Linked DNA regions of Oryctolagus cuniculus. The protein of the gene in region 3 binds, or shares a complex with, the protein of the main gene of each other region. Links are inferred from orthologs where the notes say so. Each region holds a gene or a part of one and is shown on either strand. Other genes may lie near its edges. The genes, in order: TMEM231, TMEM107 and CEP290.

The links.
Region 1: CEP290 (region 3) and TMEM231 share a complex: the UniProt entries of both Homo sapiens proteins name them as parts of the tectonic-like complex. The link is inferred for Oryctolagus cuniculus from reciprocal best matches to the Homo sapiens genes CEP290 and TMEM231.
Region 2: CEP290 (region 3) and TMEM107 share a complex: the UniProt entries of both Homo sapiens proteins name them as parts of the tectonic-like complex. The link is inferred for Oryctolagus cuniculus from reciprocal best matches to the Homo sapiens genes CEP290 and TMEM107.

The regions. Positions count from the first base shown.
Region 1 is NC_091449.1:57,924,492-57,927,715, reverse strand, and holds part of TMEM231 (transmembrane protein 231), read left to right. Parts: intron 1-588; coding exon 589-717; intron 718-1,001; coding exon 1,002-1,145; intron 1,146-2,527; coding exon 2,528-2,609; intron 2,610-3,224. UniProt on the Homo sapiens protein: Transmembrane component of the tectonic-like complex, a complex localized at the transition zone of primary cilia and acting as a barrier that prevents diffusion of transmembrane proteins between the cilia and plasma membranes.
Region 2 is NC_091448.1:52,667,216-52,671,595, forward strand, and holds the start of TMEM107 (transmembrane protein 107), read right to left. Parts: upstream 2,815-4,380; 5' UTR 2,590-2,814; intron 2,369-2,589; 5' UTR 995-2,368; coding exon 908-994; intron 793-907; coding exon 730-792; coding exon of another isoform or gene 725-729; intron 634-724; coding exon 533-633; intron 1-532. UniProt on the Homo sapiens protein: Plays a role in cilia formation and embryonic patterning. Requires for normal Sonic hedgehog (Shh) signaling in the neural tube and acts in combination with GLI2 and GLI3 to pattern ventral and intermediate neuronal cell types.
Region 3 is NC_091442.1:90,800,394-90,804,042, forward strand, and holds part of CEP290 (centrosomal protein of 290 kDa), read right to left. Parts: intron 2,453-3,649; coding exon 2,309-2,452; intron 1-2,308. UniProt on the Homo sapiens protein: Involved in early and late steps in cilia formation. Its association with CCP110 is required for inhibition of primary cilia formation by CCP110.

The DNA.
Region 1 (3,224 bases), on a different chromosome or scaffold from region 3:
TCTCCTTCTCTCTGTGTAACTCTGACTTTCAAATAAATAAATAAATAAATCTTAAAAAAAAAAAAAAAAAAGAAAGTCTAACATGAATGGCGGGAGGCCTGGTGATCTGCCATTGGCTTGGAGAACACATCCCAGTTAGGATTGGGGTGGTGGTTGGTGGTTTTTTTTGTTTGTTTGTTTTTGTTTTTTCCTGCTTTAGAAAATTGGCTTCTGGAGAAGTAGCAGTTTTGAGGTGCTACTTAAACTTTCGATACTAACTCAGGCATATTTATGAAAAAGGAAAACTCAAGTAACGAAACCAAACGAGACAAAATGAGCCGATCAGAGGAGACGCAGGCTGTGCGGCTGCCGGCGGCTGTTCTGGCCCCTGCAAGCGCCCATCCAGTTCAGCCCCGAGCATCTGCAGAGCCCAAGTGGAGTTCAGGACCACGTCCACTGTGTCTTCCCCCGGGACTGTTTGTTTTTCTTTCTTGGTCGCGGGGAGGGAGCTGGCGCCTGGGTTCAGCGGGACCCTGTGCCATTGTGTTTGTGCAGCAGTGAAGTGGCTGCTTCCCAGACTTAGTGGGCGGCCCCCTGTGGCTTTCCCAGACTAGAGAAGAAGACCGCAACCAAGATGGGAAAATGGACGTGCTGCATTTCAGCCTGGAGCTTCCCCTGCAGCCCACGGAGCACGTTCTCGGCGTGCAGCTCATCCTGACGTTCTCCTACCAGCTGCACGTGAGTCGGTGCTTAGGGAGGCCCACCTCTCCCTCCCGTCCTGCAACGGACCAGCGCCCTGTAGGATTAGCACAGCAGAAGGCTCTTTCCCGGATGAAGGTGGTGGTTTGACCGAGGCAGCTAAGAACTCTTCCCTTGGGGTCACTAGTTTACAGGGCTGTGAGGGAGTCGGGGGCTGGGGCAGAGTGCTTCCTGCCCGGCCGAGGGTATGGGAGTCGCCGTGGACGGGTGACTCTGGGAACCCAGAGCCGCTCGGACCTGCTCGCTGCTTCTCGCGCTTTCAGAGGATGGCGACGTTCGCGATGCAGAGCATGGCGTTCCTGCAGTCCTCGTTCGCCGTCCCCGGGTCCCAGCTGTACGTGAACGGAGACCTGAGGCTGCAGCAGAGGCAGCCGCTCCCCGCCGGCGGCCTTGACGTCCGGTACAACGTAAGGCGGGCTCCCGCGCAGGCTCTTCAGGAAGGCCGTGGGGGGTGGAATGCAAAGAGAAGTTTATTGTGGTGCAAAAAAGTCTTTGAAATCTGTGTAGTTTCTCCGGAATAGGCATTTTCTGCCAAACCTCATGTATGTTACTGTGTATACAGTTCTTAGAAATGAAAGTTGGGCCGGCGCCGCGGCTCACTAGGCTAATCCTCCGCCTTGCGGCGCCGGCACACCGGGTTCTAGTCCCGGTCGGGGCGCCGGATTCTGTCCCGGTTGCCCCTCTTCCAGTCCAGCTCTCTGCTGTGGCCCGGGAGTGCAGTGGAGGATGGCCCAAGTCCTTGGGCCCTGCACCCGCATGGGAGACCAGGAGAAGCACCTGGCTCCTGCCTTCGGATAAGTGCGGTGCGCCGGCTGCAGCGCGCTGGCCGTGGCGGCCATTGGAGGGTGAACCAATGGTAAAAGGAAGACCTTTCTCTCTATCTCACTGTCCACTCTGCCTGTAAAAAAAAAAAAAAAAAAAAAAAAAAGAAATGAAAGTTGGAAATACCAGTACCATTCCAATGAGGAAAAAAACTCCTTTAACTTTTTTAAATGGACCACATTTCTAGCTGCTTTACCTTTTTCTTTGCTCTTCTCTGAATGCTGTCTTTTATCTTTTTAATGTGGAGATGGAAGTGGATACAGAGCAAATAGTAAGCATATAATCCTTTGAAGCAGGAAATGATTTTCCAACTCCTAATTTTATTTGGTATAATTTGGTATATAGATCTTCAGATACAAAGTCCGGGTTAAGTTGCTGCTTTTCAGTCTTGCCCCCTTATTCACACTGATTATAGCTAGGGTGACCAGAAACCCAGTTTGCCCGGAACAGCCTTTGTTTATGTCTGTAATAACCAGCGACATGTTACTTTTCTTCTTTAAAAAATGTACTTGAGAGGCTGACAGCTCTCCAAATGCCCACGATGGCCACAGGGTCAGAGCTGAGAGCTGGGAACTCAGTCCAGGTCTCCCACGTGGGTGGCAGGGACCCGAGTACTCGAAGCGTCACTGCTGCCTCCCAGGGTCTGCATTGTCGGGGAGCTAAAGTCAGAAGCTGGAGCCAGGCATCTAACTCAGGCCTCCCTGACAGGGGCATGTTAGCCGTGAGCATGAAAGTCCACCAGAAAGGGGAATTTTACACATAGCTTTTAAACCCCTAAATGATGGATACTGACCCACAACAGGAAGAACTGAGAGTAAGCAGACTTGACTTATCTTTGAAGAAAAAGCTGTTGCTACTGGAATAGGCCATTGAGAGCGAGACGGTGGTGTCTGGGACCCGGCTGGGTGGGCAGGTGGGGAGCGGGGAGAGGGAGAGGACTCACCCACGGCCTCCCACTGTGCCCCAGGTGTCTGTGATCAACAGCACCAGCCCTTTCGCCCGAGACTACGACCTCACCCGCATTGCCGCTGCCTACCAGGAAAGGAACGGTGAGTGTGGGGGAGCCCGCCCTCAGCCCCGCTCCAGCGCCTTCCAGCCTGGTGGGGGTCGCGGGAGAACAGGCTTGGAACCCTGCGACCACAGTGGTCCTTTTGTGTCTTCAGACCCCGCCCCCCACCCCTCTGGTCCGTTAATGATTAATTGCTATGCTTATGCCATCACTGGCTTGGTGATTTCCTTAAAAAAAAAAAAAAAGGTTAATTAAGGTGTTGCTCATACCACACCTGTGGGAGATGAGGGGCGATTGCGGTCTTGTTTTCAGAAGAAACCGAGCGTGTTGGCAGCTCAGCGCGTGCCAGCAGCCCCCTGCGGTCCTGACTGGCAGGTGGGGCCCTGGCACTGCCCGCAGAGCCCCAGAGTGCTGCTCACGGGCCTGAGGTTGTCTCCAGAGGACTCTAACCTGCTGCTTGGCAACCAGACGTCGTGGGTACCACGCTCAGTCATGTGCACGTGAAAGGAGTTCGGTTCCAGGGTTTCTCCCTATGTTTAGGTCGTACAGAGTCAGCAGCATTCCAACAACACAGGACGCATTAAGACAGAACCAAAACACACTACATTATTCCATACACACTACATTATCCCATTCACTTTTGATCCATATATGG
Region 2 (4,380 bases), on a different chromosome or scaffold from region 3:
CAGCGACGGGCTATGGCAGGCCAGTGGTGGAGCTCCCAGGCCTTGTGCGACGGCGGGAGTCAGCAGCCCTGCCTTCTGATTTTAACAGGCCCACGTGTAGCGGCCTGCGCTGAGCCTGCACTGCCGAGACCCCAGGCTACCCTCACCCCACATGGAGGGGCCAGCCTGCACCCCCGAGGGGAGGTCAGAGCAGGCCCCCATGGACCCCACAGGAATGCGGACAGCGACTTGATCCTCTCTGCTGGAATCACTCTCCACCAGGAGGCCCGCAACTGGAGAGTCAAGCGCCTCCCTCAATCCTTGGCTCTTTTACCCCCTCCTAGAGGATAGTGGGGTGTGTGTGTGTGTGTGTGTGTGTCTGCCTCCGCCTCACCCCCATTTACCTCCAGGGCCCGGTGCACAGCGGCATCCACAACTGTTTGAGGATTGTGTCAAATCCCTGCACTGCCTAAGCAGAGGCGGGGCTCCTGGGGGGAAGGGGGTCGCTGAAGGGAGTCGCGCTGGAAACGGGTCGTGGGGGCAGAAAGGATACAGATGAGGCTCTGGGTGCTGTTGAACATGGACACTCCTGAGAGGAAGCCGGCCAGCTCCACGGCAAAGAGGCCCAGGGTGACCGAGAGGGCGGCCACCAGCCTGCAGAGAGGAAGGGGAGCGGCTCAGGACCCCCGGCCTCCGGGACTCCCACCGCCTCTTCCTTCGAACCCCCACCCCCCCAAGAGCTCACTGCACGTCCTGCTTCTCATACTCCTCGGGGGTGAATCGGAGGGGCAGGCAGGCCTGGACGTTGCTGTCCTGGGGAGCGGGCAGAAAAGGAAAGGAAGTGAGAGAGGCCGGCTGAGACCCCGGGCGGGGTGGGCGCGGCGACCACGGCGAGATGGCGACGCGGAGTGGCGGCCGTGGGTCTTACCCGCGACCAGAATAAGGTGATGACGACCACCAGATGCGCCAGCAGCGTCAGGAAGCGGGAGGGCACGAGCCCCGAGATCCGGCTCATGCTCCTCAGGGCCGCGGGCGGCGGCGCTGGGAAACCTCTCCCGGCCCGCGGCCTTCGCGCGCCTCAGGGGCCGCCCCGTTGCCTTGGTAACTGCGTACGCGGACCGTGCGCCTCGGGTTCTGAAGATCTCGCGAGAGCCGTAAATTCTCGAGCCGCCGTCGTGCAAGTGCGCCGTGTTCGGGGACCCCGCTGCGGCCGCCAGCCTCCTAACCGGAGGACTACGTCCGGGGGTTCGCTGGCTGCTCAGGTCCGGAGCGGCGCGGCCCCAGGCTGCATTGCCGGGAATGGCCTGTCCGCGGAGGAGGTGCTCGCGGACTGCTGCGGCCGGCGTGCCGGTCTTAGGTTGGAGGCTCAGACGCGGTCTTCCCTTTCCGTCCTCGTAGCTTCCTTGTGCCCTGAGCCCAACGTGGAACGTTCACTGGACCTACCTTGTCCGGCAGGCCCGTTGTCACGGAGCCCTTGGTGGTCGGAGCACCCCAGACATCTTTGCCGGGTTCGGTGAGGGATTTGCATAGTGCAGAAGATGGTGGCAGCCTCAGCCTAGGGACGGCCCCGCCGGGACTGGACAGGGCGAGCGTGGACGAAGCGTCCCGCACAGGAGGTTTGGAGCTGCCTGGGACGCAAGGCTCAGCTCTGGTTCCGGGGTCTCCGAGGTACCGGCCGCACGGGCTCCAGGAAGACCCCTGCTGCTTGCGCACACCCAAGGGGCTTCCCTCCCCGCTTCTGAGGAGAGTAACCCCAGCCTTCAAGTCAGCCTGCACTGCAAAGCCTAGTGGTAGGCAGCCCAAAAGGAGGTGGAGCGTGGTCGCGGCAGGCCTTGCAGCCACCAGGCGCGACGTGGTCAGATTCGTATTCTCCACGACCCAGGTTGCAATATGGAGAGACTAACGAGGAAGCCATAGAAGTATCCAGAAAGGACAGGGTGAAGCAAAGACGATGGAGCAAAGCAGAAGGATTGGGGAGAGGGTCTGGCTCGGGGCCTGTGGGTGGGTGAGGAAAAGGGAGAGTCAAGGTGACCCAAGGATTTTGCGTTCAACAGCTGGAGGTTTGGAGCATTCTGCTCAGTAGGCGTTCTGCCTAGGAGACGGGCTAGACAGTACAAACCGAGTTCTCAGGTCCTTAGGTGTGGACTCATGAACAGGGAGTGGGCAGCCTATGTCTGCTTTGTCCTTGTCCACAACCTTGGTTTATAGAAACTTGCCTCAGAGAAAGTCGTTTCTTGCCTGGGTTTTAGAGCCTGCTGGTGGCCATGGGCTGTGCTGCGGGTGACCAGCTGTCCTCCCGTAGGTGGCCACTCACTCCAGGGCTGGATTCGGTATCTCAGCATTTGAATTGGTGACAAAAGAACTTGCAAACTTTTCATTTTTTGGCATCCTAGGAAATTTCAAACACAACGTAAAAATGAAACAGTATAACAAACCCCTGGGAGGGCCACTGCTCTGCCTCAACAGTTGTCAGCACGTGGTCAGCTTTGTTGCCCCCTCCCCTCCACCACAACCCCACACGTGTGCATTGGGGTACAAATAAAGTCCACTTGGCTGACATGTCTGAAATCTCTGTTAATCTTGGGTTTGCCCTCCTCCCCATCACCTCACCTTCCTTCTTTTCTTGCTGAAGATACTGGGCCACGTGTGGCGTCATTTCATTCTCTCCTGGCACTGTGTTTCCTGCAAACTGATGGTCAGGTCTAATGGTTGATCTATGTGTCATTCAGTTTTCTGGTAAGATCACATCCCGAGGGATGGTTTGTACTTTCTGTTCACCTCATCAGGAATCCTGCTTGTCTGTGTGTCTGTCTGTCTGTGGTGCTGAAGTCTGAGTGGTGGCTTCGGGTGCGGTCAGGCTGAGCCACCCGTGATAAAATTCTTCATCCATTCTCACCTAATGGTACCACGGGTCCTCATTGCCTAACTGCATGATTTCAATAGCGATTGCAAAATGGGGATGGCCTAATTCGAGCCCTCTTCTGCATCTACCAGCTAGAATTCTTTTATCAGTAAGAATTTTCCATGAGATACGAGTCATACAGGAAAGGCAGGATAAATGGGTCCTTTTTTTTTTTTTCCATTATTTGCCAGTTTTCAGAATCCCGGTTCAGTAGTGTCCTACAAACACAACTAGATCTTTTTAGTAGCATGGTGACCACATAGATTTTAACATCTTTTGTGTATTTCAATCTACCTTTTTTTTTTTTTATAACTAAAGAACATTTATTTTCCACTAAGAGTTTGCCTTGAGGATGTAACTAAACTGAGCCACCCCCCACCCCATCTCTAAGGGTTAGTACAGTGACTGTTATAAAGCAGATCTCAACAGTCTGAAGCTCTGGAACCAACATTAACTGACAAAAAAATTCCATCTAAATCCTCATAAAAATGTTTAAGTAAAAAAAAAAAAAAAGGGAAGAAAAAGAAAAGAAAAAAGGGGCAATGGGGGTTTCAGATTGAACAACATTCTCACACTTCATCTGATACATTCAATCTGGCTAGAGTGTACCAAGTGGAAACAGGATCACTATAATACAAAACTCCCACTACAGCACGCTGTACACACCTGTGTTCCAAGCCCACCCCCATCCCCCTACTGCTTCCACTCCATTATTTTCCCGCCTGTTGGGCCTGCCGGCGGAGGAGCACATAGATCTTCTCTTTGATCCAGTCTTTGTTATAAGGCTGGTATGTCTGGGTATCAGCCCGGTAAACAAGGCAGCTGAGGTCTGCCAGATCATCAATAAAATCAAACAACTGACTGATATCGTATGTGATAGACGGACTGTTGGGATTCATTCTTTTCAGATGTTCCTCATACATTTTACAAATACCTTCCATGCATTCATTCACAGATTCATAGTCAGCATAAGTTCTGCCTTCTGGCCTCTTGGTAGGCTGTACCAGCAAAATGGTATGAGACATCGCGCCAAACTCTTCTCTTTGCAGCCGCTGCCGACACCGCCGCCGCACACGAGCTTCTCATTCTACCTTTTTTTAAAAGATGCATTTATTTTATTTGAAAAGTGGAGTTACAGAGAGGAAGAGGCAGAGAAAGATCTTGCATCCACTCGTTAACTCCCCCAGATGGCCACAACAGCCAGGGCTGGGCCAGGCCGAAACCAGGAGCCGGGAACTCCATCCAGGTGTCCCTTGTGGGTGATGGGTCCAAGCACTTGGGCCATCTTCCGCTGCTTTCCCAGGTGCATTAGCAAGGAGCTGGATTAGAAGTGGAGTCAGGACTTGAACTGGCGCCCATATGGTTTGCCAGTGCTGCAGGCTGGGCCTTTAACCCACTGTGCCACAGAGCTGGCCCTTTAACTTCTTCTTCTTCTTCTTTTTTTTTTTGTTTGTTTGTTTGTTTAATTGGATTGTTTGTCTTTTCACTGTTGAGTTACA
Region 3 (3,649 bases):
ATAAATATTAATGAGATCTTTTATGAAATAGTGCAGCAAATTTAAAGAGAAACCCCAGTGCCTGGGAAGGCCTACCAAAAGTCATCATGTCAGCTGCTTTAATATACTAAATGTGTTGTAGCTCTGAGTCAGGTCTGAAGAACTGTCACCCAACTCAACAGCGCCAGAATTCCAACTTTGTTAAACCTACCAACATCTTAAATGGACTTTCCTGGGATGATACACTTTAAGAGGCAGATGAAAGCTATTGTATCAGTTTGCACATTCTAATCACTTTCCAGTATCACAAGAGAGGTTCTTACTTATAAATAGCCCTAGAGTATACAGCTGGTAAACCAGAGGCTACATTCAGTATTATAGCTAAGAGACATTCTTCATTCACCAATATTGTACATGTATGAAAATGGTGTGTTGTATATTTTAACACACCCATACTTTGTATTGGAGTACAATAATGTAAACCCTAAAAGCACCACTATTTTAGCATAACAAAACAAAGCCCAAGGAGCTCTTATATAGACTACTCTAGATAGCTTTGCTTGATACTTGTAACTTATTGTAATTTTTTGAAGAAATTCAAGATCATTATCATCATATTGTACAAAATAAGCACTTTAATTAACACAGTCATATAGTTTTTTAAAACTTTTAAAAAAGCCTGTGGTGACAAAGATCTTGTCTTTAAAATATGACAGTCCTTTCACTATAATGTCTTGAAGACACTACCTTTACTATCCATTGAGAAAGAAATGCTCAGACTTTTCAATTCTCTTGGTAGGGGTTTCTTTTTTTGTTTACATAGGGAATGATTTTTAATGTTGTGCATACAGTGGGGGTCTACAACAAGTTGCAAACAACTTTTTAATCATTTAACAGTTTTTGTCAATCATTTTCAGGCTTCTGAAGCTGTAGATTCTCACTGTGAATCCCTTGTTTGCTCATGCATAGGTGTATCTGCGATATCAAATATACAGGGTTTAGCACTTTTGCCTGTTATATTGTTTCATATGTGCGATATTTTGGTTGAGATGTTAAATGGTGGGCCAGTCCTGTGGATGTGAAAGTGGGAAGTAATTGTAATCATGTGTAATTGGTCAGAAGGCGTAATTAATTATTAATTATTATATGCAGTAATTATTGATATTGTATTTAACAATGCCCTGTTGCTTTGTATGCATTAACATTTGGGTGTAAAGATTGTGTGTCTATTCAACAGGAAGCCACAGTATTTAAATTGACAAACCTAACGTTACAACTACTTTAAGGTAGACAAATGTAAACTATAAGCCTTAATTAAAGTGGTGCAATTTTGTGTAACTTTACATCAGTATTTCAATAAATTTGGATTGTCACGCAAGGGCTTTCATTATTTAAAAAAAAAAAAAGAAGAAGAAAAAGAAGAAGAATGGGAATACTTTTCCTTACAAACTAATTCATGATATAGTGTCTTACACAGCAATATTATCTGACAATCATTGTGGTTTACTTAAAATTTTTAACTCCATTTCTCGGAGCATAACAAATAAAGATTATGAGAATATGCCACAAAAAAGCTTCTAGGCATGAGGGCTGGGACAGTGTCCACCATGAGGGACCACAGCAGCATGGTGCCTATTCAAAGTTTATGGTCAGTTGAGGCAAAATAAGAAACAACTTATTTTCACACAGAAAATACAAATTTATCTGCAAAGATTATGTTATTTTCCCTAAAATTAAATTTAGGTAAATATTGCATGATTTTTAACAAAAAAATAACATGAGATAAAAAATTATGTTGCAAAATGATTATAATATGAATTGATTTATAAAATGTTAGTGTTAACACAAATTGTCAAGAACCTATATATTACATAAAACAAAGAAATTAATTAACCATATGGAAAGCATAAATTAAAGATTCATTTCCAAATCAACTACTAACACAGGCACATTAAACAGATGTAACTTTGTAACCAAAATAAACTACGGCAGCAAGAAAATCACCTGTTTTTTAATACTTACTAATGTTATCATACCAATATTCAAAACTATCAATTTGATGTATGTGATTTCAATGTCCTGAGAAAAACATTCTTCCAAATATAAAGAATTAATCTCCAAGCCACACTAGAAGTACTGAGCCCCTATATTTTAAAGATGTAATGACAACAGTGATATACAACCTTAGACAGTGAACAAATTTCTATAAACATAACATATATTATAGAAACTGATAATATAACCAATAATTATAAGAAGCAAAATCAGTTATTCTACAAAGATAACATGAACAGTTAAGATTCACTGAAAAAAAAAAAATGTGCCTTACTTGTTCATTGACTTTCTTCTCTTTGTCCAACTCTTTCTCCATATCCTCTAATTCTCTGTCTTTTTGTTCCAACTGCTTTTCAAGTTGGCGAATTTCATCACGTAAAAACCGAGTGTCCCGTCCACCAGCAGACTGCTGAGCCATCTTAAATAAAGCAAAAGTATCAATCATCCCATTATATGTGGAAGTTCGAATGAATTAACAACAAGCAAACAATTCTCTTGTCTTTCAATTTTCATTATCCTTCAGCACCAGATGTTTAAAAGCTTACTAGCTAAAGGACGATTTTTTAAAGGATTTGGCTTATTTAAGCTTTAGTTCACAGGCTGACAACTGCTTAAGCTTTTCTTAAGCCATCCAGAGCTACAAACAATTGACTATTAACCACTCAGGGTCTGTTATAACTACTGAGTCACAGTTTTAGTTTTATGGACTCTACTGCAAAGACACAAAATGTATTTGATGAACTACCAAGATTTCTCCTGAGCCTTTCAAAACCAGGCTCCAAACTACAAGGGCTTCTACCCTAGTCACTGATCCCTGATGCTCTTAACCGGCTCTTTCTCTCACATTATGGACCATTTAGACCACTATTATCCAACAGGACATCCTAGAATATGGAAATGTTCTCTACACTGTCTAAAGCAGTAGCTACCATTCACATACAGATACTGAGTACTTGAAATGTGGCTAGTACAACTGAAGAACTGAATTTTTGATTTTACTTTTGAGCTAATATAAATGCAAATGACAAGCAGTTAGTGCTACCATATTGAACAGCCCAAATTTAGATCATCTGTAAAATCTGATAGTCAACCCATTTTGTTCCATATTTCTATTAATAAAGACCATGGCTCAAAACATCAAATTGGGGCTGGCATTGTGACACAGTGGGTAAAGCCGCCACTGTTATGCAGACATCGCTTATGGGCACAGGTTTGCGTCCCTGCTGCTCCACCTCCGATCCAGCTCCCTACTAATGGCCTGGGAAAAAGCATCAAAAGATGGCCCAAAGGTTTGGGCCCCTGAACCTAGCTGGAAGACACGGAAGAAGCTCTGGCTTCCCCTCAATCTTGACTTCCTTACCTTTTCAGCTAAGATTTGACAACCACTTTCCTACCAGTATCTTCAACTGCCCTAACTTTCTATTTCATAGTAGTTGTCTGTCTAAACACATTAAAATCAATCCATAATTCATTTATTTAATAAATACTTATTGAAAATGCTTGACATTTTCCTGGAGCTAGATATAAAATAGGAAATCAGAAATAACTCACCCATTTTTACAAAGTTAACAGATAAAAGAAATAGGACTAGAACTTAATCTGTCTGATTCCAGAG